Linked DNA regions of Mus musculus. The protein of the gene in region 5 purifies or fractionates together with the protein of the main gene of each other region. This does not show direct contact. Links are inferred from orthologs where the notes say so. Each region holds a gene or a part of one and is shown on either strand. Other genes may lie near its edges.

Region 1 (4,156 bases), on a different chromosome or scaffold from region 5:
TTTCAAAGCCAGTACACCTTACAACACTTGTTTTCACCTCCTTCAGATGTTCAAGTCCAAATGCAAACCTTGTTTTTCTGTTATTTCTTTTGAGACGGGTCTTATATAAAATCACAGGCTGACCTGAACTTGCTATGTAGCTGAGGATGACTGTAATCTTATCTTCCTGTGTCTTCCTCCTTTGTACTTAGATTATTAGTGCGTACCCTCATACTGATATATGAAATGCTCTGGGCTCTGTGCATGCCAGTCAAGCACTCTACCAACTGAGCTACAACAGCAGCCTGAGTACTCATTACCTTTATATAAAAAGAAATAAAGGCCCGGCAGTGATGACCCTCATCTTTAATCCCAGCTCTCAGGAGGCAAAGGCAGGCAGATCTCTGTACATTATAGGCCACCCAAGGCTGTACAATGAAACCCTATTTACACACACACACACACACACACACACACACAAACAGAAATTACCCAGAGGCCAGAGAGATAACTCAGCAGGTGAAGAGTATTTGCTACTCTTGCAGAGGAACCAGATTTGATCCCTAGCATACCCAAGGCAGCTCACAACCTCTGACAAGTCACCTCTTCTAGCCTCCAAAGGCACCAAGCACACATATGGTAAATATTTATATAGGCAAGTACTTTATACATACACATGAAATTTTTTAAAAAAGCAAGCCAGGTGGCAGACACAAGTGGGTTTCTGAGTTCCAGGACAGCTAGGGCTACACAGAAAAACCCTATCTAAAAATCCAAATATAAATGAAGAAAGAAAGGAACTGATTATAACCCATCCGCCATGTAATATAGTACACACTTTTAGAACTGTGGAGGCAGAGACAGGCAGATCTCTGATTTCCAGGCCAGCCAAGGTTATAGATACAGACACTGTCTCAAAATAAATAAGTCCTAAAAATTATTTTTTAAAAAGACATTTTTTAGACAAATATTACAATGAAACTGTAAAGGAATTATTTTTCCTACCTTGCTGACTCTGTTTTCTATGTTTTGTTTTTGTTGAGACAGTTCACTCTAGTAACCCAGGCTGACTTTGAACTCTGAACATGGTCCTACTGCTCAGGCTTCCATTTCTGGGATTACAAAAGGATTACAGTCTCTTTAAAGACTGACTGGTGAACTGGCTTGTTTTTTTAAATATTTATTTATGTGTATGTGTGAGTGCCACAGTGAATGCATATGCATCCTGTGTGCATGAGCCTGTGGAAATCAACAGGGACATAAGATCCTTGGAAATTAGAATTACAGACAGATGTGCACCGTTATGCAAGAACTGGAAAAAATTTGTAGCCTCCACTAGAGCCATGTTATACCTGTAGCTATACCTATAAGTAGATAGTGACATATAATAAATACAATAATAAAATAAAATTAGGTGTTAGGGATATAGATCTAACATGTTCAAGGTCCTGGGTTCAAATCTCTAGCACTCATACTAAGTAAATAAAAATTTACACCAGATGTGGGAATGCATGACTGTAATTCCAACATTCAGGAGGTTGAGGGAGGAAGATGGTGAATTTGCAGTCAACTCAGTAAGTATTCATAGAGTTCCAGGCCAGCCAATCATACAGAAGACCCTCACTCAAACAAAGAAAAGATCCACTCTTGAATCCTACTCCAAACAGTATCTGACTCCATTAACAAGGGGGCTCCATTTCTACACCTATAAGTGAACAGGAAAGTCCTCCAAAGCCAAAATACTCACCAAATAAAAATCAAATGGGATATGGGGCACAAAAGGCCTGAACCTGAAACATGAAAACAACCCAAAGTTATTCAAGCAGAAAGCACAAGAGAGGTACACAATGCACCAACCAATTCTGTCTTAAGAATTGGAAAAGTTTCTGAGCTGTATCATTCTTAGCAAAAGGTCAAATCCACTTAGTAGGACATCAGGAAAAGAAATGCTTTTCGTGACTTTCATGAAATGAAATAGAACAATCTACTCCAAACCCCTTTCTACTGAAACAAACCAAGGCAAAGATGCAAACAGCCACACTCACCCTCCACCAGGCCCTCCTCTGGAACCAAAGCGCCCACCACGACCACGTCCTCTGTCACCCCTAAAAATACATACATTTTACTCTCAATTCGCTGAAAAAGGTCTCCATCACACCATCAATGTTATTTCAATTTGACTTACCTTGACCGCCTCGAACTACAGAAGTGGATAGATATTTCATGCTCTCTTCTCCCAGATTCCAAATGGTGCCCAATGACATCCTAATTCTGGACTTTTCCTTTTTCTTGTTTTTGAGACGGAATCTCATGTATCTCCTGCCTTACCTCCCAAGTGCTGTGAGTGCAGCTTTCGACACCACACCCCACTTCTAATTCAGGATTTTATCAAAACTCACATCAGGAAAATACGAGTTTCAGAACCTGATATACATACCCCTACTAAGGTAACCTACGATCGTGAGGCACACCAGTCCTAATATGCACAGTAAAGTGACTTATCATTTATTAATACAGCATTAACAGTTACGAGGCATGTACTATTGGTCAAACACTAGGTACCAGAAAATTGCGCAACGCTCCAGCCTACTTATTGCGCACGGAGGGAGATCTTCCTGGGCCGTTAAGACCTCTCCTCCATCCCCTCCCGGCCCCCGAGACCCAGGTATCAACACAACTCCCCCTGCTGGGCCCCGACCCCCTCCGGGCCCGATTCCCGGAGTCCGCCAGCCTCCTCCTGCTCCACTCCCCCGCGGTCAGGCTTTCCGCCGGCCGCCCAGATGCAGGCCCTTGTTCCTCCGACTCCATTTCAGCCAGGCCCCCGAGACTTCGGCTGGAACTTTCAAGCACCTCTGTCCACTTACCTCATGGCTCGCTTAATCCTGAACAATGGAGGCCACACAACCGCTCTTCGCTGGGAAGAACTAGGCTGGCTGAGAAACGTCTGGCCGGCGTGTCCCAACAAACGCCTGCGCGATAGGCTCCCGCCTCACTCCGTCCCGCGCGTTTATTGGTTAACGCAGCAACCAATGAAAAATGCCCTGTAAAGGAGCCAGCCAATAAGAAGACATAACAGGGATGAAGGCAATTTTCCCCACTGACAGCGGAGGGCGTTCAGAAGTTGAGGCGGTGAATGGTAAGCTCTTCTATGGAAAAGAAGAGAATGCTACCAGTGGGTAGCAGAGTGGCGCAGCGGAAGCGTGCTGGGCCCATAACCCAGAGGTCGATGGATCGAAACCATCCTCTGCTATCGGAGGCTTTGTTTTTAAAATTTTGACAATCTAATTAAATTTTCCTTTCCATAACAAGAAATACAATTCTTTTTTCTTCTCCAACTTTTTTTTTTTTTTTTTTTTTTTAGATAGCGTCTTTTTCGGTCATCCTGACTTACATAATACTCGTTAGTGTAGCCCGAGCTGTCATCAAACTCAGCAATCTCCAGCGTGTGCCGCCTCACCTGAAAACATAACTTTTACCTTATGGAAATATGAGAAATAACTTAATTCCACTTACCACCACTATTCCCTCGATAGCATTACTATTATATGATTCTTTTTATTGAAAAAAATTCATACAATATATCTTTTTTTTTTTTTTTTTTTTTTTTTTTTTTTGGTTTTTCCGAGACAGAGTTTCTCTGTGTAGCCCTGGCTGTCCTGGAACTCACTTTGTAGACCAGGCTGGCCTCGAACTCAGAAATCCGCCTGCCTCTGCCTCCCGAGTGCTGGGTCATACAATATATCTTGATCACATATTTCTCTTCCCCAGTTCCACCAGCTCCTCCCCACTTCGCTATGTTAGGTGATTCTGACAAGTATTGGTGTATTACTTACTTTCGTAGGCATATATTCCTTTCAAGTAACCTAACTGCACCTTCATTAAAATAGGGAATACTTTATCGTGTTAGCAAGGTGAGTCAGCAGGTATAATCGCGACAACCTGAGTTCAACCTCTGAGACCCACAGTGGTGGAAGGAGAGCAGCGATTTCTGCATTTTGTTCTCCGACCTCACTATAAAGGTTGTGGGTGTGGTGACACCCATAAACACAACATAAATATAACAGAATTAAAAAAAAAAAAAAGAACGCTATTTTGGCAAACATGGTGGAGCATGCCTTTAATTATAGCACCTGAGAGGCAGCAGCTGGAGGATCTGAGAGTTCAAGGTCAAACTATT
Region 2 (4,260 bases), on a different chromosome or scaffold from region 5:
GGGGCCTTGCAGCCATGGCAGCGTCAACCTCGGCCATGGATGAGAAAGTTACAAAGCCAAATCCTCTTGATCTTTTGCTTGCAGGATCCCGCATAACCTTTAAATCCAAAAGATAAGCATTTAATTTCCCGGCATTAGGTAGCAATATAAATTAGAATGTATTGATACTGGTATTCCCTAGTATTCACACCCAAACATACAGCCAGACTTTCAGAGTTAACGTACGTACCACACAGTCTGTGAGCTTTCCCCATTGCTCATAGTAGTTTCTCAAACTTTCTTCTGTGGTTTCAAAGCTTAAGCCACCAATAAAGAGCTTTCGGAACTGTTCCTTTTCTCTCTGCAAAGGGAAATACCATTTCAATTTTTATTTACACTTTCTTTGTATGCAGGAAATTAAATTCTTAAATATGAGGTGACCTGCTGGTAGAGTACCTTTTTCCTCTCCAAAGGAACAGTTTCTAAAGTTTTCTGGGGGGGAGAAAAAAAACTTACATCAAATTTAAACCATATGTTAAACTGCATATTAGTTGTGTTACACCAAAAATTGCCTGAGCTATACAAGTTTCAAAGTCACTAATATTCGATCTAACTTCTAATTCACGTAAACTTTCTTAGATTTTCTTCAAAAAAATTCAGAAAAACCATACCCAGCTCTTAGGTCATTTAAAGGGTATTAAAGAATTCTTTTGTAATTCATTAAATTCTACAACCCAAGTCCAAAATTTACTACTTTTTAGATTTAAAAAAAATTTAAAAAACCTGTTTCCAAATTCACCACTTCCAAGATTCAGTTTCTGAAAAGTGGCATATTTGCTTTTCCCTGAGCTGCCCCCTCTGGTGTTAATTGTAAGTATCTCAAGATGAAAAAAAAAAATCCTGCAACTCTGAAACAAGCTCCATGAAGAATGCTGAAACTCCAGATATCACCTTAAATCTGGTTTTGTCAGGCACTTAATACTGGCTTTCCAATAGCTAAGTACAAAAACTTATCAAGATGTTCATAAATTAGGTCATACTATCCAGGACCTATGACTGCACAACGAAATGAAAAAGCAAAATTATAAAACAAATCCGTTATTTTACTGTATAGCCTAAATTTGTAAGTTTCTCCAAAATGTGCTCAAAAAGCCAATGTTTACAATTTTTAGGTTTTGAAATGTTTAATAAAAACGACCAAAATTGTTTTAAATAGTCAAAATAGTTACAAAAGCCTTAATCAGGACTCCAAATAGTGTTTCTGGTAGCTCTACTAAAATGTCAGTAAATTGGCTTTCCTTAAACTAAGTTGCAAGTATTAAATACACCTTGTTTTTTCATATCACTAACGAAAGCAAAAGCTCTTTACTTACCTCGGGTTTTTTCCAAACTTACCAGACGTCCACTATCGATTATAAACAAGGTTATTTTATTTATAAGTGTGCTTAGAGTCAAAGAAAATAACCAAGGAGACCCCTTTCAATTCGAAAGCTAATGCTTATCAGTGTAATGATGCATCATAATTTCAAACAAATAAAAAATAAAAAAACCGAATGACCACGCTCAAACACTGTGACCCCAAACTAAGTTTTTATATAGCCAGGACGTGGATTTTCGTCCACTGAACCAGGCTTTAAGCGAAGGCTAACTATGAAAAGTCAGCTATTTCACTTCCTTAAAGTGAACACCACGTGCTAAGGATCCGTTGACTTTACCAACAAATTCGAAGATTCCCTTAAAAATGCTTATAATTTGAATTATTTCGATCCGAGGATCCTTTAAGCAGATAAAAGTTCTGCAATAAAAGGAAAGTAACCCTGCACTCAACATAGCCTCCCTAGCTTCCTGATGAGCGCTCCCATTTTTTCCACTTTGACTTCCTCCTACTATACTAATGCTCAAGTGCTTTACTACAGCACCCGTAATCTTACGTATTATGAAAAATAAAACGGTCTCTTTGCAGCGACGCTGCCTTCAGCCACCCGCCCAGGCCTCGGTTGTACTACGTTCTCTCTGCCTGTTCCAGTAAAGCTCGTGGAGCGCCGCCACCCCGCCCCCACCCCGCGCCTCGGTGGCTTCAGAAAGCAATGGCGCCATTTCGTCGAGGGGAAGGCAGAGAGCCTTTAGCGAGGTGCGCAGGACGCTGAAGACCCAAGCTCAAAACGCTAAATCCACCTCGAAACGGTATGAAGACTTCCAAAAGAAAGGAAAATCGCTAAACACGTCTACGCAGTGGTGAAAAAAGAAAACCAAACTAGTAAACCTAAAGCGTTGAAAGCAAAATCGTGGCGAGGAAGGAGACGGGAAAATGGCGGCCGCCAAATCCGGTTCCCGGGAGAGGGGGGAGGGGAAGCTTCGCAGACTCGCTCCGGGAAGCCGGGGGGGCCCCAGAAACGTTCCGCCGCGAACACAACCGAGCCCCTAGGCCCGCGCACATCGAAAGGCCAGCGATGGCCCGCTCACGCGCTACTTTAGCGGTCCAGCCCGGTCGCGGCGGGCACTTCCCATCCCCCACCCCAACTGAGGGAAATGGCGCCGGGCGGCTGAGGGCGGGGAAGGCGGTCGGACAATCAGAGGCCTCCTCCAACGACCCCTCAGAAACTCGCCAAGGCCAACCGCCACTCGAGTGGCCGCATCCCCTCCGCCGGACCACGGAGGCGGGTGGCCGGTTTCCATTGCGGTGCCTACGGCCTCGCCATGCCATTTTTAATAACTCATTGATTTCAAACCCGTTACCTCCATCGCGGACTCAGTCGCTTCAGCCCGATTTCCCGCAGCCGAGCGAGATGAGAAAGACCTCCGCGGACGGACGCGCACGGGACTCGTCCTGGCGCTGTGGGGAGAGCAGGCGATGGCCAAGAAACTGGGCCGCAAAGGAGCTCCTGCACACGGGACCGGCGCCGCTGCTACTGCCGCTGGAGCCGAGACCGCCGCTTTTCTAGAACCTTCCCCCCACTAACGCGTCTCCGCTTACGTCACGCCGTTACGTAAACGCCCTAACCGCCGCCAATGGCGGGAAGGGCCTACACTCTCCTTACGCCAAGTACGTGACACTCCCCCTTTAGGTACAGCGGGACTGCTTTACATCACTTGCGCAACTGTGTTCCGTGAATTGCGGAAGGCTCGCGCTCGGCGTGTTACTACGTCCGGAACTAGGTCCGGCCCCCACCTCCGCGTAGGGAGCGGAGAAACGGTCGCGCAGTTTGAAATAACGCCGTCGGGAGGGGCTTAGGCCGGCGCTGGGGCGTGCGGCCCTCTCCACCCAAGCGTGCTCTCTGCAGCTACGCCTTTGCCAAGCCCGTCCGCACAAATATTCTCGAACCACACAAATATTTCTACACGTCCCAAAGGGGTTCTCACTCGGTCCCTCCCAGAAGGACTTTTAGTCCAAGTACCACCCCGGATGCCACAAGCCTTGGGATCCCGCGCCTAGTGAGAGGTGGTGCTTAAAGAACCCCGCTGTTTATCTCCCCGGCCTTCAAGATCCGGGCAAGGAGGTGGGTGGAGCCCCGCTTTGGCGCGCTCCGAGACGCAGAGAGGCCTCCGCGGTCCTTCCTGCCCGCCTTCCCCCCCCTCCCCCCAGCCAGGAGACCCCCTGGGCGCCACGCCGCGGACGGTGAGCATTGCGCGCGCCGCCCCCCGCAGGACGCGTTCCCGGCGGGCCCCGCGCGGCCAGGGCGTGGGCGGTGCTCCCCCTCCCCCCCGGCGGAGCTGCCCGCGCCCCCTCCCCTCGGATGTGGCTGAACCGAAGCGCGCAGGCGGGAGACTCTGCAGGATCCGCGGCCCTGAGCATCGGAGCGGTGAAGTTCGTGCCTTTGCTTTTTTTCGATCTTGCGTGTGGTGGGGTTTAGGATGCTCCGTGCGTCCGAGCTTGCGGGGAGGCTGCGAGCCCCGTGGGCCGCGGGCTGCGGGAAACCGGCTGGGGCCTCGCTGAGGCGGGCGCCGCGCCGGTGCGTGGGGGAGATGGGACAATTGTGCATGAGGGTGGGAGCCGGATGACAGCTACCGAGACTCCAGACAAAGCGCGGGCCTCCCCTCCCCCAGCCTCGTCGCAGGCCCGCAGGGAGAGAGCGGTTCAGGCTCTGCAGCTGCGAGGCCCGAGGCTCCGGGCTGCGGCGCGCTCCCGGCTACGTGGCCGCCGCCGGATGGGGGAGGCGCGGGCCCGTGGCGCAGTGCCCTTGAGCCCCCGCCGCCGCCTTTGTTTCTCCCCGCGGAGGCGCTGACCACGAGGCCCGCGCTCTCGGGTGGGGGACGGGCTCCCGACCGGGGAATGGAGCTGGG
Region 3 (4,317 bases), on a different chromosome or scaffold from region 5:
TTTTGTTTTTTTCAAGACAGGATTTCTGTGTAGCCCTTGGCTGTCCTGGAACTCACCTTGTAGACCAGGCTGGTCTCCAACTCAAGATTCAAGAGATCTACTAGCCTCTGCCTCCCAGAGTGCTGGATAAAGTTGTGTGTGCCACCACTCCTGGCCCTAACTACATTTTAAATGTGCTGATATGGAAAGAAAAATGTTTTGCCCTTGTGAGGTAAAAATGGCACCACCTCTGTGAATCACAGATTGTCAGCCAACTTCAAGAATTCCCAAGCAGACCATTTCCTTCCTATCCGTCATTCTAAACTGGTTCTCTCTTTAGCAAACTTGCTTTTTCACAAAAATAGTAAGCAGGAAGAAAATAGTCCAATATAAAATCAATTACAAATCAGTATTTTTGTTTTAAAAGAATGACTACAAAACTTTAGGGAAAATGTGGGAATTTCGGTATTGTTCAGGTTTAAGAAAAGTTAACATTCATAAAGAAATGAAGATGTGTTCTACTAAGAACTCACTGTTTTGGGTCTGTCCATAAGAAGAACCATAGCTGCTCTGGCCGTATCCTGAAGTGTCAGCTGACTGGCCATAACCACTGTAACTCTGTTGGCCATAGGGCTGACTGCTCTGTTGGGAGTAGCCCTGCCCAGGCTGGGTAGGATAGGCCCCGTAGCTACAAGAAAACAGACCAGTAATCTTCAACTAAAAGAATAAGAACAAAAGCATACAGAAATACATAAAACTCAAGTTAGATCAATCACCCTTGCTGTCTTCTAGCATCAGACCAGAAACAGTATACTCACCTTTGAGTTGCTTGTTGGGTATAGTCTGTAAAAGATGGGAAAGAAAAAGGTCTTAATTTTAGTTAAGAATAGAAATAAATTCTTCAACTTTTGTACTAGGCACTCCAGATGAAACAAATCTACAAAAACAGGCATAAGTTAGTTCCTCATGAGACAAAATGGCCAAGTTTTATTACAAAAAGCAAAGAAAGCACAAATTTCTAGACACCAATAAGTCTTAGACTTTTGTTCTGGGTAGAACCCAGGGCTTGCTTGGGACCCACTAAACAAGCGACCACTAAGCATGACAGCCACAGAGCTCTGTGGGTGGACTGGTTCTCTATCTAGAGGCAGGGTTTCTCTGCATAGAACTCACTCTGTAGACCGGGATGGCCTCCAATTTAATACATACAAAGCTCCATCTGCCTCTGCCTCCCAAATGCTGGGATTAAAGATGCCCCACATCGGACCGGGCGTGGTGGCGCACGCCTTTAATCCCAGCACTTGGGAGGCAGAGGCAGATGGATTTCTGAGTTCGAGGTCAGCCTGATCTACAGAGTGAGTTTCAGGACAGCCAGGGCTACACAGAGAAACCCTGTCTCGAAAAAAAACAACAACAACAAAAAAAAAAAATCCAACATCATGTCCTTTTTGCCTTTTTTCTTTTTTGAGACAGAAGTCTCGATTATGTATCTATCCCAGAATTCAATATGTAGACCACCTCGAACTCACATAGATCTGCCTACTTCTACCTCTTAGTCCTGAAACTAAAGGTGTGTGCCACCAAACCTGGCTCAATCTTTAAAAAAAAAAAAAAAAAAAAAAAAAAACTCAAAATACAGATCATCCCTTAAGTTTAAAAATCCTTTTGACTTGTTGCAGGTCTTTCCAAGGCCTGCAACACACGTCACCACATTTTATATCTTCACAGCAGCTCTGTATACAGGAAAGGTGGTATCACCGGATGTCAAGATTAACTTTGACAGTCAGCGCTATTACACAGTTGAGTTCAAGCCCAAGGAAGCAGCTAGAAGAATGGGACTCTCCAACCCCCAAATGGCATGGTGCTCCCAAGGTTCCCGACGTGTGGCTCCAAATAACTGAGCTCCCGCCTACCATGCGCACCCAAAGCAGACAGCACTTTCAACAATCTGGGAAGCTGTAGCTCAGCAGCTCCCTGCAGGAAACCCAAGCTCTACCCCCGCACTGGGACAAAACTGACAGCGAGAGGGTGTGGCCTCGGAGAGCGACTCCTCTGATTTCCTTCCGGCCTTAGGAAAACTCAACTCTGAAGTGGGAAACTCAGGCCGGGGTCCCTGACTCCGTTGGTCATCCCCTGGCGGTCCTCCCAATCCCACGGACACGCAGGCCAGCCAGGAGCTTCCGCTCCCGCTGCGCGGCCACGGAGGCGGGAAGAGGTGGCCCCGCCCCTTCCCAAGGGACCCAGCGAGCAGGGCGAGGCCAGCACCGGACCACAAGTCTTCCGCCGAGGGTCTCGCGACAAAAAAAAAAAAAAAAAAAAAAAAAAGAAGAAGAAAGAAAGAAAGAAAGAAGAAGAAAGAAAAAAAGAAAAAAGTAAAAAAAACGGACCAACTCCTGGCGGGGGGGAGGGGGGCCGCGGCGAGAAGGGGGAGGGGCCAGAGGAGCGCGTGCGCGCACCAAGTGCCCGGATGCAGCACTGCGACAAAGCGAGGCCGGGAACGGAGGGAGGGGAGGGGGTGGGGCGAAGCTGCGGAGACCCAGAGCTCCCTCACCCCGGTCACCCCACGTCGCCAGGCAGCGTCTCTCTCAACACTCGACTCAAGTGACCGGGCCAGGAGAGAAAACCCACGGTCTCCGCGCCAAAGGCGCCAGGGGAGCCAAACAAAATGGCGACACCGCCCTCCCCTTCCCTCCACCCGCTGCTTCCCGCCAGAGGTGGGGGAGCCCACTCGCCCGCCACCGCAGGCCCAGCCGAAAGCCAAAAGCCTTGCTGCGAGGGAACGAGGCCTCGCAGGGACGCGCCGTCGCCGCCTCGCGCTCCCACATACCGTTTGAAGCCATGTCCGCGCACGCGCGCAGCGCAGGCCGCCAAGCAACAAAGTTCCAGACGACCGCGAAGCGATGCCGCGAGGACTGAGCGGCCCCGCCTCCCGCGCCCGCCTTAAGTACGCCTGCCGCCTACGCGCCACCGGGACGTACCAAGTGGAGAAGCGCGAGGGGGAGGCACGCCCAGGTCCCCACCCTTCCCCGGGGATACGGAGAGCTCAGGAAGACAAGAGGGAAAACGAACTCGCTTTATTCCCAAACACTCGCACGCGCTTTCTCCTTGCGGCCGGTGGCTCTCGTCCGTCGCCCGGGGCTCGCCTTCGACACACCTCTACCCCACTAGAGGCAGAATGGTACGACCCGGCCTCCCGCTAGGGGCGGTGCCAGGGCCCTGCGCCCGAGAGCGGAACTGTGTAGTCAAGGCCTGGAGTCTCCGGGTGTGGGAACCGAAATCCTTCCGACCGGCCCAGCGGCTGGGCCCCACTTTCACTGGGGAAGATGCAGCATACTTTCGCTTGCCCTGGCCTAGCAACTGAGTCGAACGCAGTGTCGCTCTGGTCCTCCACATTCTCTCCTGACAGACAGCACACTGATCAGTCTCGTTTTTCACTTAGGAATGCCTCGGCTTGCTGTTCTTTAGACCTTAACAAGGTTTATAGATTGTGACGTTTAACCTGGAAGAAGATGAGCTTTAGTCTGGACCCTATGGCCCTAAGGCTGGTTCAACAATAACACATATGTATACAACTTAAGAGGCTTCAAACCCACAATTACCCCCCCCCTTTTTTTTTTTAATTTGGCCTCTCAGTACCGCTCAGTTGATCTCGAATCCTTGATCCTATTTGCCTTAGCCCTGTGCATCCTGGAATTACAGTCGTCCTGGTTTTCCCCCATCATCATCTTGTAAAGAAATCTGAGGAATGTAGCTTAATGATAGAGCGATCGTTTAGCCTGTGCATGACCCTGCCTACCTCTCCAGTCCCGGAGCTAGGCAGAGGTGGAGGGGAGATGGATCTTATGAGAGCAGTGAGCGGCTAGACTAAGAATGTGAATGAGGTACGAGGCAGTTCAGGGTCAGACCTTCTGATCTTTAAAGTCTAAGCCTGGGGAACTACAAAATGCTTCTTGGTTACAGGAAATGATTGAAAGCATTTAAAGGCATGAACACTTTTTGTCAGTTCAAGGACAAAACGAAATTCAAGGGGGTTGGAGAGACAGCTGCTCTAGAGAAACCACAGGTTCAATTCCTAGTACCCGAATGTGGGCAAACAACCAACTGTAATTCCAATACCAGGGACTCTGGGATCACAGAGATCAGGTAATTCATTTTGCAATGAGTAGGTTAGGATGGGTCTGAGGGAATGACATTTCTACTGGGAGTTTACCAAGTGGATAAGAACAAAAATGACGGGTTGGAGAGAGGGCTCAGCGATTAAGAGCACTGACTGCTCTTCCGAAGGTCCTGAGTTCAAATCCCAGCAACCACATGGTGGCTCACAACCATCCATAACGA
Region 4 (3,710 bases), on a different chromosome or scaffold from region 5:
AATCAGTTTTATTTAAGAATTTCCAACAATGACAACTCTTATAAAAAAGCATCCAAGCACAGGACACAGAACTGCAGCAAACAGCATTCTTATGAATAGCTAACAGACATGAGAACTTCCACCCTTCTTTGAGACACCTGAGCTCACTGGTGAACTCTGCTTCCAAGTTCTCCTGCAAAGCACACCACAAGCTCAGTCCATGTTCGCAGCCCATCAGCTTCAGTTCACGTTCCCACACTTCCAGATCAGTAACAGAGGAGAACACACACCATACAGCATTCACAGCAGTTGACAGAGGGGGAGGGAAGTACAAGTATTTCACTTAACACATTCAACTAAAGTGGGTTTCCTAAGAACAAAACTCAAAGTCTTCCAACTGATGTGGATGTCCTTTGATGTAAAACATTCGTACGTTATTTGCTATCATTGCTCTCTGCACACTCTCTCACCAAAGCCACAGGATTGAGTGACACATCTCTCCAAGTTAAAAAATATCCATTTTCCACCACCAAGTCTCTGCACGCGCTCTCCTTTTCTCGCTCATACTAGCCTTTCATGCCTCGGCACCACCATCAATCCCACACAAGGTTTCAAAAGTTCAAACAGCCTTCTGGTTCCATATCACAGCCTTGCGTTCATAGCGTTGATACGACTCCATGAAATAAAGAGTAGCGGATAAAAATGGAACACCCACCGTCAAAGACGCAGCCTGTGCAGCGTGATGACGAATTCTTGGATGAGAAAGCATGTAGACAGAAGTATTCCTATGGCAGAATATTTACAGCACTACTTTCAATGAAGTGCTTCTTCCATAAACATTTGAAATGAGATGAACTGCAGAGATTAAATGAAGGCTTCATATTGTACTTTCGTATATGAAGGAAGACAAGTGTTAAAAACAAAACCAAAAGAATCAAACACCATGACATCATGATCTCCCAAATGGAGATTTTCCTAAGGAAAAAATTCATAGGGTGGGATTCAAATTAAAATAAGGAGAAAAGAATGTAGTTCTAACCAATGGTTTCTACTCTGAACATGCAAAGAATTCATTAACAATTTCAATGATAGAATATTACAGAGAAACCTTCTGAGATCAATTGTAGTGTTGGTTTACCAATTAGGCAAACAGCAGTTCACTTTCACCCACTCAGTATTTTAACCCTTTATATAACAAAACTTATAAAATTCATTTAGCTTTCCCCTCTTTTTTTCTAAAGAAAAATGTCAAAAATACTGCTGAATATACTCCACACTGAACAAACCAATCTGAAAATTTTAGTACATATGTATTTTACAATATACTTACCATGAGTTTAGAAAAATTTGAATCCCACCATTCTAAATCTACCTAACCTAATAACCAACCTACTAACCACCCCCCACCACCTACATTCCCCAGCCAGAAGACTTAGAATCCATGCTCGAGCCAAAGCCCCCATTAAAACCACTGCCCGATCCTGCATTTGATGCTGACCCCCAACCAAGGGGGGCACCAGAATTAGAACCACTGTAGGAATTATTTCCAGAACCAAAAGCCTGATTTGGTTCCCTCTGCATGCTGCCCTGGCTTTGGTTATTCCCAGATGGGCCCGACTGGTTCTGCTGGCTGGCTAACATGCCCATCATACCCCAACTGCTCTGCAACGCTGCCTGAGCCGCAGCCATCATCGCTGGGTTAATGCTAAAAGCACCAAAGTTCATCCCTCCACCCATATTACCACCCTGGTTATTTCCCAAGCCAGCTCCACCCCCTCTACTGTTACCAAACCCACCCTGATTCCCAAAGCCACCTGGATTACCACCAAATCTTCCACTTCTTTCTAACTGTCTATTGCTATTATGCTTAGGTTCAGCATTGGATATATGCACGCTGATTCCTTTAATGATCAAATCCTCTCCACAAAGAGACTGGGCAACCTGTAAGAAACAAGGATATAAATAAATGATTAGATCAACCCAGATATCAACACAGCAGTAAAACCCAGATCTTAATATAACCCAACTAAGGAGGAGGAAAAACAGGCAATTTACTTAAACCCAACCAGCAGCCTTTAGTTATAGTAATGTTAAGCAGCAGTATGTAATAGCCCCCAAATCCAAATAATGACAAACACTTGAAGGGCATCTTACAACTATCTAAATCTACTCTCTATTCTGTGAAAAGGGAAGGTGGCAATCTGCTGAACAATTCACTTATCATTTTCAGTGTTGGAGACTGAGTGCAGCCCCTGGTGTACCATGCTGGGCACATACAGTAGCACTAAACCAGATCCATTCCCAGCCCTGGGACAAATGACCAACAAATATACCTTATCATCTGCAAAGGTGACGAAGGCAAAAGCTCTGAATGGTTTGGGAATGAAGACATCTACCACTTCTCCATACTGACAGAAAAACTGCTGAAGCTCTTCAGCAGTCATGTCCTCTGTACAACGTCCAACAAACACCTTTCTGCTTCTCAAAGGCTCGTCTGGGCTTTGCTGGTCAAGAGAGAACAGGAGATGGTAAACACATCAATGCATACTTAAGTGCCTTCCCGTCTTGGGTGTTTTTGTTTCTAAAGATGAGGCTAACTGTGTACTACTGCCTGGCCTGTACACACACCCGCACCCCAGATGGAAATTAAAGGTGTATACTGACAAGACTGGTTTCTTGGAATTTAAAAAAGGGTTTTGCCTTCATGCATCTACCTGTGCCACATGCACGTCTGATGCCTTTTAAGGTCAGGAGAGAATCACACACAACTGTAGTGAGTTGTGTGCTGCCATGGGGGTGTTAAAAACGGAATCAATCCTCTCCAGGAACAACAAATACTATTTGCCAGCCGGCCTCATTTCCTCGGGAATTTCAAAGACAGGCTCTTATGAACCCCAGAATATCCTTAAACTCGAGAATTACAGGAATGTATCATCATCATGCTCAGTTGTAACTTGTTTTATACACTGAGAGACCATTATACAAAAGGGCAGAGGTTGATGCTATTAGTCAGCCCTGCTTCTCTTTTGAAGGTGGATTTCTCACTGAGCCTTGTAATTTGGCTAGATTGGTGGCCAGCAAGCTCCAAGGATTCACCTGCCTCCTCTCCCCAGGAGTGGAATTACAAGTACCTGCTATCACACCCAACTGTTTAAACAAAACAAAACCACAAAAATTTGGGTCTGGCTCGGTGTGGTAGCTCAGGCCTTAAATCCCAACACTGGGAAGGTAGAAGCAGAGCAGTTGAGGTCAGTTTGGTCCACATACTGAGCTCCAGACCAACCAGGGCTACAGAGAGAAACCCTGTCTCAATATAAATAAAAATGTGTGCTCTAGGATCAAGTGCAGACCCTCATATTTAAGGTAAGCACTTTACTGACCAAATGAACCTATCTCCTCAGTCCTTTTAAATAAAGTTCTATGAAAGTATTCTTTGAGCCAAAACACAATGTTCCAAGTCAGCCTTATTTGCTTGCATGGAATGAATTCGGGCTGGGGATGTGGCTAAGTGTTCAAATGCTGCCCAGAAAAGCACTAGATGAATATTAAGTTCCCCAGAACATTAAAGCCAACATTAAGTAAGCAGGGTGGTACCTTTAATCTGAACTCTTAGAAGACAGGCAGGCAGATCTGAGTTTTGAGGCCAGCATGGTCTACAAAGTGAGCTCCAGGACAGCCAGGGCTACAGAGAAACCCTGCCTCAAAAACCAAACCAAACCAACAAAATACAG
Region 5 (4,387 bases):
CATGCAAATCCTATCAGCTCTTCAACATAAAAACATTCAAATACTTTAGGCCCAGAACAACTTCAAAAACTTCTATACTGCTTTCATATTGAGACTACAAGCATTCAACCTACACTTGCTACAATTTACTTTTTTGACTTCTAATAGGCTACCTAAGCCAAGTTCCTTTCATAACAATTTTCATACAGAGAATTACACTAGCTAAAATATTTCTGGTCCCATGACGGAAAATAAGTTATAACACCATAAACTGTAACAATCTAGACTCACACTAATCTAATGTTAAAAGAGCTTACCTTTAACTTGAAGTACTTTGCTAAACAGCAATATGAGGAAGTTAAGATGGCTGAGTAGAATCCTCAAAGGTCTACTCTGAACTACAATACTAAATATAGGCAAAGTTAACACTTTGGAAATACTTCTAATTTCCACCTTTAAGATGGGCTTAAGTTATTTGAAGGTCTCCAGGAAGAAAATGTGAATTCAACAACATATATTCAACAGCCTACTTTAAGTACCTAGACTATTCAACTTTTTAAAGGTCTACTAATACTAATTCATGTCGCCAGAAGCTGCCATACCTCACTGCTCAGCAACAAACAGGACTACATACCTGAGAAGAACTGAACAATTTCTTCCTTGCTACATCCAAAAGGGAGTCCTCTAAGCCGTACAAAGCCATCATTGGCTGTGTCAGGACTATTTGGACCAGTATGCTTCAACACCCAATCCATTTCAACGTTGTTTGACTTGAATACTGAAAGAGGTGCTTAGAATTAGTCAATTAAGTTGGAGAACAAAGTTCAGATTTCCTGGGCTTTTAGATAACTAGGAAGAGCTGCCATAAACTCCCTTAGATGACCATTTCCATGCGGTCAAATACCTAAAATTCAGAAGGGGTAAGACCTCTATGTGTTTAAACGTTTACTGTTACTAGGGCAATGTAAATCAAACCTTCAACATATCTGTGTCCCATAGTTTCTCTGTCTTTTTTCAAGGCCAATTTGACTTCATCTTCTGATTCAAGTTCAACAAAAGCCTCGCCACTTGGTCTGCCTTCTCTGGTGTAGATGAAACGAATACCTTGAGCCCCATTTTGAATTTTGCAGTCTGAAAAGAAAACAACGCTTAATACAGGATTTAAAACCACTACAGATAAAATGCATATTCCTGTCATCACACACACCAAAAAAAAAAAAACATGCCTAAAAAGACTGACCAAGCAGAACACGATCAAATTATCTCATATACAGGATATATTCCTAGTCCAACAAGGTAACTCAATGCTCAAAAATAGTTCAAATGGAGCAGGGCAGTGGTGACGCACGCGTTTAATCCCAGCACTGGGGAGGCAGAGGCAGGCGGATTTCTGATTTCGAGGCCAGCCTGGTCTACAGAGTTCCAGGACAGCCAGAGCTACACAGAGAAACCCTGTCTCGAAAAAAAAAAAAAAAAAAGTTCAAATGAAGCTACCACCTTGCCTCTAAGTTTCCATTAACCATCTCTTGGTACACTATCTCAGAATAATCTCATCTGGATCTGGTGACTTCACAGCATTTTCTTGTTTGGGTACCATGTCAGCTTCCCTCTATCAGCAACCACATAACAATTTCATTCAAATCCAAACTCCAGCTCAATATTCATCCGAAAAGGGACCAATGTTAACAACTAAAGGCTCCAAGCTGCAGTTCAACTCAAACCCGGACGGCAACGGCCCCCTGCAATTGCTTGCAGTATACTTGGGGCTCGATTTACAGATCGTTTTCTGTTACCACAGCTAAATTCAGATGGTAAGGTCAACACTACAAGTACCTTTTTACAAAACCTTACACGACTTGAGAAGAAATCACATCTTTCCCTACTTAAATTTTTCTTAGACTACTCCAGAATGCACAGATTGATGCATAGAGACAGAAAAAGTTTTAAAAGAAAACAAATTCAGCAGGGCCACCAGCATCCCCAAGGGGGTTGGGGGGGGTGCGGATTTCGCAATTACCATTGCGTAACAGCGGCCAACAGAGCGCGAGCCGCCTGGGGAAACCGCTGGTGGCCGCGACTCGCTAGGGGGCGCCCGGGAGACCCGCCCCGCCCCAACCCGGCCCGGCCCGGCCCAGCCGCGGGCCCCACTGACAACTCCCGCCTCAACTCACCAGAAAAAAAGCGCTGCACTTCATCCGCGGAGCAGGACCAGGGCAAGCCCCGGACCTTCACCACGAAGCCCTCTCCGCCTTCTGCTCCCAGCATCATCGTCCCTTCGGTGGTCCTGGCGTCCACACAGATTGCGGGGCTGCGGGGTGGGGGTGGGGGTCAGGAACGCGTCTGAGAAAACAGGCATTTAAATGGCCCTCCCACTTCACGGCGCACAGCGGGCACCGGGCGCCGCCATGCGAGTCCCGCCCGTCAGGATGCCTGGGCCCCGGAGACTCAAGCATGCAACCCGGCCTCGGCTAGCGACCCGATGCCCAAAGCCGCCCAGTGCGCCCAGGGCCGAGGCGCCAAGCTAATAAGACCCTGGCCCACAGCCACGGTTGAGACGAGGAAATGGCGGCCGCCGCTTCCGCTCCGCCTCCTCAGACATCTCACACAATAGAAAGCGGCGCGGCCTGCAGGCCTAGGCGGCGCTGCCACGCCGGCGAGACACTCGCGGCTCCCAGGGGCAGCCTGCGCCTGCCACGGCCCCTCAGGTTAGAACCTAAGCTCAGCGACAAGCAATCGTCACCCAAAGAGGTGTCCGTGGAGAGCTCGGGCAGCAGTCGAAGACGGAAAGTCACTCACCTCCACAAAAAGCCTCGGCGTGGCTGAGGAGAAATGATAAGCGGGCGCCTGCGCAGGCTAAATAAAGCCCTTCCAGCAAGCTCTGCGCACGCGCACCCTGTTGCCGGCCCCGCCCCACTTGCGTCACAGAGAGATTGGACGCATGCGTATTAAGAAACCCCGAGCTCTCTCCCGCCGTCCTATTATTACACGCATGCGTTTGGGCTCAGCCCTCTTCATAAACTGACCGAGGTGTTTTTGGTTGTTTTTTTTTTTTCTTTCTGCGCCTGCGCCTTTTTGCAATTATTGCGCTTGGCGTCTCAGCGGTTTCTTGTTTTACTTAATGCGCATGCGGCTACCTTCAAACCGTTCTCTAGACCTACCCGCCGGAGTGGGGGAGGGGAATGGCGCTAATCAGCTCCCCGCAGGGACTGGGTAGTAATCCAGAGTTCGTTCAGGTTTGCAGGGGCGGTAGTTCTACCCTTAATCCGCAGCTTTTCATCCGCGCTCCTGTCGGTTTTGAAAGACACCACGAAGAAAAGGAAGCCATGCCCTTTCTCCTCAGAACGCGTAGGAGCTGGAGGGCCGGGTTGTGCCAAACCTCCTCTGGGTACCGCCCCGCCCCCTGCGCCCAAATCCCCGATCTCCGTGGGGCGCCTGGGACCAGTCCCCTTACCTGCCCGCTTTAGGGGGTCAGTCCCGACCCACATGGGCTGCCAGTGCCCGAGCTAGTCCTGTACCCCACTTTGCCTAACGGACTCGCACTCTACGAACCCCTCGCCCTTGCACGAGAGGCGCTCGGTGTGCGGCGCCTCGCGAGGGAAGGCTGAGACTGCCAGGGGCGCGAAGGACGCAGCCCCAGAGCGCTGCGCCCGACCGACCAACGGGCCTCTCCCAAGGTGGAGACACGCCCGGGTCATCCCGTGTGCCCTTACAGAGGTAAATGGGTGACGTTTAAGAGAATTCCTGCAACATAGCAGAATACGGATGATGTCCCGAGTTTCTCCGAATCTGACTGACCTACCCTAGAAATTAACAATAAGAGTTATTGTTTGGGCGGTGCCACGGTAGGTACCACAATTGGTAAGCCTCTGAAAGCCATCACAAGAGGTTACAGGCAAAAATACGCTTTTCTTTCAAGTGCAACATTGAGGAGGCTAAATCCAGTTTGAACAGTTTGTTTTTTAAAAGGGGGGGGTGTCATCAAAGGAAAGGTGCAGAGACTGCGTGCAGAACTCAGACCTTTTAAGTCTGCGCAAGGGTGTTAAGTAGAAGGGCATCACAAGACTTCAAGAGAGCAACAGGAGCTGTGTAACGTGAACCTTCAGGTGTAAGGGAAACTCGGATGAGACAGGCTGGGAGAATAACTGCACATGACCTCACCTGCAAAGGATCTATCTAGAGGAGACAGAAAACACTAGTTTAGATCATCGAAAAGTGAGAACTCCCAAGTCTCCAGGCCAGGAGGTGGGTGAAAGGCAAGAACACAAGCCCAGCCGAGGAGAACTGCAACTTCAAGACTTGCCTGAGCAACAGAGTGCGTTCAAGGCAGCCTGGGAAATTTACTGAAAGCCTGTCTCAAAAAGAAGACAAGAGAAATAGTAGTGGTAGAGAGCTTGCTTAACATGTATAT
Region 6 (3,710 bases), on a different chromosome or scaffold from region 5:
TCCTGCCAGAGTAGGACACAATGGTACACACCTGCAATCCCAGTGATTGGGAAGCTAAAGCAAGATTTTGAGTTCTAGGCCAGTCTAGAGCTACCTGGCAAGGCCCAGGCTCAAAAGAGAATGATAAGACAGGAGAAAAAGAGAGGGAAAAGTATCTCACCTGTAATCCCAGCCCTTGGAAGTTGGAGGTAGAAGAATCAAGAATTCAAGGTCACTAAGGATGCAGCTCAGTGGGCACAGTGCTTTGCCTAGCATGCATAAAACCCCTGGGTTGAACCCCAGCATTTGTACAAACCAGGCAGGGTGGCTACCTCTGTAATCCAAGCATTCAGGAGGTAGAAGACTACAAGTTCAAGGTTATTTCTAGCTATATAGTGAGGGCCATCTGAGTTTTAAAAGGCCCAATCTATATCCCCCCCCCCCCCGTCACCCCCCTCCCCAATACAACTAAGAGTTTAAGGTCATTCTTGATTACATAAGGACTTTGAAGCCTATCTCAAAAAGAGAAAAGGGGGAGGAAAAAAGCAAAGGGGCAGAGAGAATTTTCTGGCAGGAAAGCAGAGGATATACCTGAACATATAACTCATGTTCAAGGGCAGGAGAGAAATGTAACCAAGTCTGCAGAATCTTTTGAGTTTGAATTTTCTCAGAAGTGGGGAGAGTGACACATTCCATTCCCAGTTTTTGGAATATCTAGTTACAATATTGACTGTTGTGAAAACTGCAACTCAGAGAATCACGGGACTAGGAAAGATAGTTGGCTTTGACTCTACAGCTTATCCCAAAGAATCAAGGAACACACCAAGAACATTGGAATGTGAGCCATTTCTGCATGAGGAAACAAGAAACAGGTGTCTTGATCCAGCAGCCACCCACATCTTGGTTTAGCTGAGAAGGTGCAATGCAAGCAGGGGACGACTGCATCCTGGTCATCAAAGAAGCTTTCCAGAAAGGTTGCCTCGTGTTAAGAATCCACAACCAGACTTTCACCCCATACTGTGTGCTCAGACCTACAACTGCTAAGCATGAGTTCCCGAGGAACCAAACCAGCTATGAGTTTAATGGAGGAAATCAATTTTTCTTAAATTTACTTTTTTTGTGTTTTACAAGTCTGTGACCGTAGGAATACTGCTTTGCTGACTCTTATGTAAAAAGATGACAACACTGCCTCCTCTCAGAAACTCTGAAAAAGCAGGAGTGGTAGCATTCACCTATAGTTCCAGCAAATGCAAGGCAGAGGCAAGAGAATCATGAACTTGAGTTTTGCCTAGGTTATAAAGTGAGAGTCTGCTTCCAAAAACTAACTAGAAAAGAACTGCAAGGATGAAATGAGCACACAGCATGACACATACCAGGACACCCAACAGCTGCCTGTACACCTGCAGGTAGAACAATGGCAAGGCCCATGGTCGCTCTGGAGCCCATGGACAGTGGTGGGTAAGACTAGGAAAGAAGCTCCACTGCTCCAACTCAGCAGCATCACCAAGCCACGACACAGGAAGCACAGAGAGCCTGTTACACACTTACCACATTCATTGAACTTGTCCTTTAGCATCTTCCATGTAAAATCAAATGGGAGCTGAGGAAAAAAAGAGGCAGACTAATCTGTGATACAACAAAGTCTTAATGTACAAACATTCTACTAGATACGAGAATATGACTTGAAGGCACTTGGGCTGGAGTGCAGCTTATGGGGTATACAGTGATTTGCCTAGTGTGTGGACAGCCCTAGATTGAACCCCCAGTAATCCCTCAAATCCTCACTTGCTGACCTCAAGACAATCAGCAGGGAACAAAACAAGTCTATGTAGAACTAGGCTACTAAGTGGCACAACTCACAATCTGGTGACAATACGTAACTCAAGCACAGCTACCTTTCTCAGAATCACTGTGCCAAGGCTGAAGTGCTCCTCAAGCCAGGGACCAGAAACCACAGACCTTTAGAGCTCAGTCTATTCCTCACCTGGCATATCACAGGCAATGCCAGGCAATTGTATTTTTGTTTCTTTGTATTTTGGAGACAGTGTCTCACCTGGTAGCTCTTTTTAGACTGGATCCCAGAGTGCCACTTCACCTTTGCCTCTAGAGTGCTGGAATTAAAGGAGTGGACCACCATGCCTGGCACTAAGACTACTGCTCTTCCAGTAACCCCTCAACTTCCAGTTCAACTCTGGAGATAGGCAAGCTGTATCACCCGTACTGCCCAGTTCTCCCTTCATCAAACTTCCCTCTCCAGTCTACATCATTCAGTCTACTGGCCTCCCCACTTCACAACAACCACAAGAAAATTCCACTAAAGAACCACTTACATTTCTCACAAATATCTGGCAGGCCTTCCTGGCTACTCCAGGTGCATGGCCTCCAGCTCCGCCAAAGGAACCTGCGAAGCTTCCTCCAAAGTTGCCCCGCTCCATCTCAATGGCTCGGTCAAAGCTAGCACCTCCGGCTCCACCCATGGCCAGGCCCATTCGCTCAATACCAGCGCCCAATGCTGGGCCCATGGCAGGGCCCATACGTTCCAGGCTGTTGGCGCCCATTCGCTCCAGGCCCATGCGCTCAAGACTGTTGGCTCCCATACGCTCCAGGCCCATGCGCTCCAGGTTGTTGGCGCCCATGCGCTCCAGGCCGGTGGCCATCCGATCCATCACAGGACCCATGCGCTCCAGGCTGGCCCCCATGCCTGTGGGCACCATCCGATCCATGCTTAGGCCCATGCGTTCAATGGCAGGACCCATGCGCTCTACACCAGAGCCCATGCGCTCAATGGTTTGGCCCACACGGTCAATGGGTGCGGCCATGCGCTCCAGGCCGAAGCCCATGCCGGCACCCATGCGCTCCACGCCAGAACCAATGCGCTCCATGGTCTGGCCCATGCGCTCAATACTGGAGGCCATGTGGTCAAGGCCTAGTGGGCCCATGCGCTCAATGCTGGAGCCCATGCGCTCAACTGAGCCCATGCGGTCCATGACCAGGCCCATGCGCTCAATCTCAGAGCCCACTCGATCCATGCCATGGCCTAAGCCTGCGCCCATGCGCTCCATGCCAGCACCGCTAATGCGGTCAATGCCAGGGCCCATCCTCTCGATCCCAGGGACACTGCCTCCAGCTCCACCTGAAACAGGAATAAAAAGCACAAGTAGAAGTCAGAGACTTATGTAGATGTTCATATACTAATGTGTGCCTGGCTGGGCACTTCAGATCCTAAGCTCAAATCAGGAAGTCATGCTCAAAGTAATTTACTATTAAAACAAAAACAAAAAAAAACCTCTTGAAAGTTTTCACATTGAAATCCACACAATCATCCTTTCCACTACATAGCACAGGTAAAAATTTCACAATAAAATTTAGAAGGAATAAAACTTCACCTCCATACTGGCTATGAGTTGTCATACTTCAATTTCTAAAAACCTTTGTAGTGTCCCCATCAGCAGACATTACGAATGCTCTTTAAAAAGCACAGAAAACTTCATACTCAGGGTAACTGACAGGAGACAATTCAAAGTTACTTACAACCTTCAAGTTGAGAGAACCTGTCCCTCTTAAAATGCCCTGCTGATGTCCACTATTGCTGCAATTCCTTTAGCACTTCTAGGGCACAAAATAATCACACAGCCATGTAAAAGATAAAACAAAAATGACCCTCAATATACACAAGCATACAAACTGATCATTTTCTGGAACCTTTCCTTCTATAGGGGAAATTGATAGCT
Region 7 (3,710 bases), on a different chromosome or scaffold from region 5:
TAGATTCCCCTTAAATTGCAAGTCAGTAGGTGTTTCTTTACAGTTAACTTTAGCAAAATTCATACAAAATAGTAATTAACAATGATCTTCTTCACGTGTTAACTCACAAGGAAACACCTTCGAAACTGCATTTTGTTAAAGTTTCTGTACTAAAATGTAGAAAAACTGAACTACACAAATATTGAAAAGTTAAAAATTCCTTAATTTTTTATTCCTGGTACCACTACCACAATTTACAGGGCAATATACCTGATGTAATGAAAAGAAAAAGAAAAAGACAAAGCTACAACAGATAAAAGACCTCAGGAATGTACATCTAATTGACACTACATTGCATTAATCAATAGCTGCACTTTTTGCAAACTGTGGCTATGACAGTCCTGAACAAGAAGGGTTTCCTGTTTAAGCTGCAGTAACTTTTCTGACTATGGATCATCGTTCCTTCTGTGGCAGATTTTTACAGTTCCTCTAATGCATTTGGGACGACTGTCTCAAAGTAACCTGCAGCTTTCCTGACAACTCCTCGCTCTCTCTCCTGCTAAGAACTGTAGCCTGTTGAATAATATAGGATAAAAAAATTATTACACTCAGTGAACAGTTCCATATATTCTTTTTTATCATTATTTTTAAAAATATAAAGATACCTACCGTTTCTGTTTTATTTTAAAACCTTCTGCTACCATATCCACCACTTCCACCTCCAGATCCATAGCCACCTGGAAATAACACATAACAGTTCTGAATATACGGAATATGTTAACCAAGATGGCTCTGAAAATTTTTGATTAAAAAGACTTACCACCATAGGGACTGCCTGAGCTTCTTCCACCAAAACTGCCCCCCTTCATGGGTCCATAATTTGATTGTTGCTGTCCACTATAATTTCCAAAGTCATTATAGTTTCCACCACCACCATAGTTACCTGAAATGACAAAGATCTTATTTGTAGTTTCTAAAATAATACCACTGTAACTATTCGGACCATCATGGCAGCAAGTATTATACGTATTTTCATGCAAGCATCAATTGCAATTTTAGGTACTAAACTCCATTTATCAGAAGCCTAAGTGATCTAATAAACAGGTAAAGAGGGACCAGTAAGTGGAATCTGTCTACTTCTAAGACGCTTATCAAATTTTAGCATACATAAAAAACACCCACTTTTCTATTCCTGCCACATCATTTAGACCAGTATTTGCTGTGATTTTGATGCAACTTTTAAAGCAGTAACGGAAGGTATGTTAATGTCAGTCACTCACATCAATTAGGTTCAAGTTTCTCCTGTAAATTACATGCAATAATTGTGTACAGTCCACCGTACAGTTAGTATATAAGCAGTATTTATCAATAGATAATAATACAGTAATATCCAATGTATTCCAAAAGCTGATTTGGCATTGCATTCACCAAGAATTAAGGAAATCTCAGCAATAAGCCAAAATTTAAAACTTCTCTTTTAATTTACTAAACTAGTAAATGTACGTTTCACTATGCTAAATAAACAGTAAAGCTTGCCAATTTGCAGTATCTACAGACACTGCAAAACAATTTTTAAAAATCAAATGCCTAGCATGCTAAATCCAGTCCCAACACTCGGGAGGTGGGTCCAAGAAAGAACAAAGCCAGAGGCCAATGTAGCCCGAGGCTTGCTGGGCTAAATAAAATAAGGTCCTATATTTGAGTTGACGAAAATGTTCTGGGACTAGTGATGAGCATTATAAAATACTGTGAATATTCTTAAAAGTATTGAATTGGGAGCTGGAGAGATGGGCTGAGTGGTTAAGGGTCCTGACTTCAATTCCCAGCACCCACACGGTGGCTCACAATCACGTACAATTGATCTGATGCCCTCTTCTGGTGTGTCTGGACAGCTGCAGTCATAAACTTTTAAACCTTTTACTCAAATAATCTTTTAAAAAACAAAAAACCATTGAGTTGTACAATAGAAACCTTCACTTTTCTTCTCTAATATCCAGACTAACCTGGAATTCAAAGGACCCCCCCCCTTGCACACTCACCTTCAAATGTGAAATTTATGTAGTGCTATATTCCCACAAGTTAAAAATAATGACTAGTTAGGGTTAAGTTGTAAATTTCACATGGATAAGCTGTGTTACAGTAGAGCTGTAACAGTTAACTTTATTTCAGCTTATCTTTTAAAGCAGTTCCACATACTGCAAGGAATTTTAATTTAAACGCTGGTTTGCATTTAATCCAGACATCTATGTAACTTACCTCCACCAAAATTTCCTCCTTCATTGTAACCATCATAGCCTCCTCCTCCACCACCATATCCACCACCCTGGTTTCCATATCCTGGTCCACCACCTCCATAACCTCCTCTACTGCTGTAACCAGGACCACCACCATAGTTGCCACCTGCAAAGAAAACCACATAGAAAGTTGTTCAGGGGGACCAAATAATTCTAACTTTTTATTATATACTGTAAGTGGCAAGACCTAGTTTCACACTCTAGAATCTAGTCACAGAGCACAAAGTAATCTTGACGGTTAAAAAAATCTTAATATTAGCATCCTCCTTTCTTTTGTTTTTCGAGACAGTTTCTCTGTATAGCCCTGGCTGTCCTGGAACTCACTCTGTAGACCAGGCTGGCCTCGAACTCAGAAATCCACCTGCCTCTGCCTCCTGAGTGCTGGGATTAAAGGCGCGCGCCACCACACCTGGCCCTCTTTCCTTTAAAGTCAGTTTTCAATTTTACTTTGGAAAATTTTAGTTCTATTTCTGGTACAATAAATCCTACTCTACTAAGCCAAGGACAACTAACTAATATTTGACTTCCATCTTTGGAAAGAGGCTTCCTAGTCTGTGGTACTAGTTAGAAAAGTATTTCACCTATTCAAAGTTTTGGAATTAGAAGGTGTGACATTTTTAATGTGGTTGTTAAAACCAAAACATGTCGCCTACCACATGTGTTGTATGTCCTACCACCTAGCATTTGAGGCCTTGTGATTCCCAGCAATGCAGAAATTAAAAATAACCAAGTTCAACATTTTAAGACTCACCATCACCTCCAAATCCATTATATCCACCATCACCACCTCCATAACTACCTCTGCTGCCACCACCTCCACCACCATAGCCACCTAAGGAAATGCAAGATTTGAATTAAAATTTCACTTTCAACTTACTAGTAAATTTGATAGATCAGCACATATAATGAGAACACCTTACCTCTTCCACCAAAGTTTCCTCCACGACCAAAGTTTCCTCCACCACCTCCAAAGTTTCCTCCACGACCCATAAAGTTGCCAGATCCACCTCCACGACCTGTAACAAGAATTGGAGTGAAAAGTTCACATCTTTCCCACAACTGTTCATGCCCACTGTTTATGTGTATCTGAGCCTACTCACCTCTCTGTGATCCAGCAGACTGCATCTCTTGTTTAGAAAGGGCCTTTTTCACTTCACAATTATGCCCATTAATAGTGTGGTATTTCTGAACTATATTTTTTTAAGTCAAAAACAAAAGAAAAGTTATTTTTTGTTTGGAAAACCATGTTAAAGTGAACCCTTTATCACCATGCAATTAATTAAAATATTATTAAGATGGTAGACTGAGAAGAGAATGAGTCAATATTTTAGAAATGTTTCCTGATCTAGATCAATAGTTCTCAGCCTATAGGTTGAGTCACAGACATCCTGCTTATCAGATATACATGGATTTATAACAGTAGCAAAATTAGTTATG

What was found.
Region 1: the proteins of Hnrnph1 (region 5) and Ilf2 fractionate together in Homo sapiens (co-fractionation; 3 studies listed by BioGRID and IntAct, with this or other methods). This does not show direct contact. The link is inferred for Mus musculus from reciprocal best matches to the Homo sapiens genes HNRNPH1 and ILF2.
Region 2: the proteins of Hnrnph1 (region 5) and Hnrnpa2b1 purify together in Homo sapiens (affinity purification with mass spectrometry; 5 studies listed by BioGRID and IntAct, with this or other methods). This does not show direct contact. The link is inferred for Mus musculus from reciprocal best matches to the Homo sapiens genes HNRNPH1 and HNRNPA2B1.
Region 3: the proteins of Hnrnph1 (region 5) and Fus purify together in Homo sapiens (affinity purification with mass spectrometry; 4 studies listed by BioGRID and IntAct, with this or other methods). This does not show direct contact. The link is inferred for Mus musculus from reciprocal best matches to the Homo sapiens genes HNRNPH1 and FUS.
Region 4: the proteins of Hnrnph1 (region 5) and Tardbp purify together in Homo sapiens (affinity purification with western blotting; 3 studies listed by BioGRID and IntAct, with this or other methods). This does not show direct contact. The link is inferred for Mus musculus from reciprocal best matches to the Homo sapiens genes HNRNPH1 and TARDBP.
Region 6: the proteins of Hnrnph1 (region 5) and Hnrnpm purify together in Homo sapiens (affinity purification with mass spectrometry; 3 studies listed by BioGRID and IntAct, with this or other methods). This does not show direct contact. The link is inferred for Mus musculus from reciprocal best matches to the Homo sapiens genes HNRNPH1 and HNRNPM.
Region 7: the proteins of Hnrnph1 (region 5) and Hnrnpa3 fractionate together in Homo sapiens (co-fractionation; 3 studies listed by BioGRID and IntAct, with this or other methods). This does not show direct contact. The link is inferred for Mus musculus from reciprocal best matches to the Homo sapiens genes HNRNPH1 and HNRNPA3.

Annotation. Positions count from the first base shown.
Region 1 is NC_000069.6:90,474,933-90,479,088, reverse strand, and holds the start of Ilf2 (interleukin enhancer-binding factor 2), read right to left. Parts: upstream 2,889-4,156; 5' UTR 2,849-2,888; coding exon 2,844-2,848; intron 2,085-2,843; coding exon 2,025-2,084; intron 1,770-2,024; coding exon 1,727-1,769; intron 1-1,726. UniProt on the Homo sapiens protein: Chromatin-interacting protein that forms a stable heterodimer with interleukin enhancer-binding factor 3/ILF3 and plays a role in several biological processes including transcription, innate immunity or cell growth.
Region 2 is NC_000072.6:51,466,956-51,471,215, forward strand, and holds the start of Hnrnpa2b1 (heterogeneous nuclear ribonucleoproteins A2/B1), read right to left. Parts: upstream 2,891-4,260; 5' UTR 2,722-2,890; coding exon 2,716-2,721; intron 472-2,715; coding exon 436-471; intron 341-435; coding exon 230-340; intron 98-229; coding exon 1-97. UniProt on the Homo sapiens protein: Heterogeneous nuclear ribonucleoprotein (hnRNP) that associates with nascent pre-mRNAs, packaging them into hnRNP particles.
Region 3 is NC_000073.6:127,966,067-127,970,383, reverse strand, and holds the start of Fus (RNA-binding protein FUS), read right to left. Parts: upstream 2,906-4,317; 5' UTR 2,820-2,905; coding exon 2,807-2,819; intron 823-2,806; coding exon 798-822; intron 668-797; coding exon 513-667; intron 1-512. UniProt on the Homo sapiens protein: DNA/RNA-binding protein that plays a role in various cellular processes such as transcription regulation, RNA splicing, RNA transport, DNA repair and damage response. Binds to ssRNA containing the consensus sequence 5'-AGGUAA-3'.
Region 4 is NC_000070.6:148,616,872-148,620,581, forward strand, and holds part of Tardbp (TAR DNA-binding protein 43), read right to left. Parts: intron 2,484-3,710; coding exon 2,313-2,483; intron 1,921-2,312; coding exon 1,390-1,920; 3' UTR 835-1,389; coding exon of another isoform or gene 779-834; 3' UTR 765-778; coding exon of another isoform or gene 697-764; 3' UTR 1-696. UniProt on the Homo sapiens protein: RNA-binding protein that is involved in various steps of RNA biogenesis and processing.
Region 5 is NC_000077.6:50,376,191-50,380,577, reverse strand, and holds the start of Hnrnph1 (heterogeneous nuclear ribonucleoprotein H), read right to left. Parts: upstream 2,901-4,387; 5' UTR 2,776-2,900; exon of another isoform or gene 2,720-2,775; intron 2,343-2,719; exon of another isoform or gene 2,288-2,342; 5' UTR 2,248-2,287; coding exon 2,151-2,247; intron 1,111-2,150; coding exon 955-1,110; intron 758-954; coding exon 614-757; intron 1-613. UniProt on the Homo sapiens protein: This protein is a component of the heterogeneous nuclear ribonucleoprotein (hnRNP) complexes which provide the substrate for the processing events that pre-mRNAs undergo before becoming functional, translatable mRNAs in the cytoplasm.
Region 6 is NC_000083.6:33,647,286-33,650,995, forward strand, and holds part of Hnrnpm (heterogeneous nuclear ribonucleoprotein M), read right to left. Parts: intron 3,113-3,710; coding exon 2,310-3,112; intron 1,580-2,309; coding exon 1,528-1,579; intron 1-1,527. UniProt on the Homo sapiens protein: Pre-mRNA binding protein in vivo, binds avidly to poly(G) and poly(U) RNA homopolymers in vitro. Involved in splicing.
Region 7 is NC_000068.7:75,662,240-75,665,949, reverse strand, and holds part of Hnrnpa3 (heterogeneous nuclear ribonucleoprotein A3), read right to left. Parts: intron 3,464-3,710; coding exon 3,374-3,463; intron 3,290-3,373; coding exon 3,194-3,289; intron 3,106-3,193; coding exon 3,025-3,105; intron 2,380-3,024; coding exon 2,236-2,379; intron 923-2,235; coding exon 800-922; intron 717-799; coding exon 664-716; 3' UTR 649-663; intron 553-648; 3' UTR 1-552. UniProt on the Homo sapiens protein: Plays a role in cytoplasmic trafficking of RNA. Binds to the cis-acting response element, A2RE. May be involved in pre-mRNA splicing.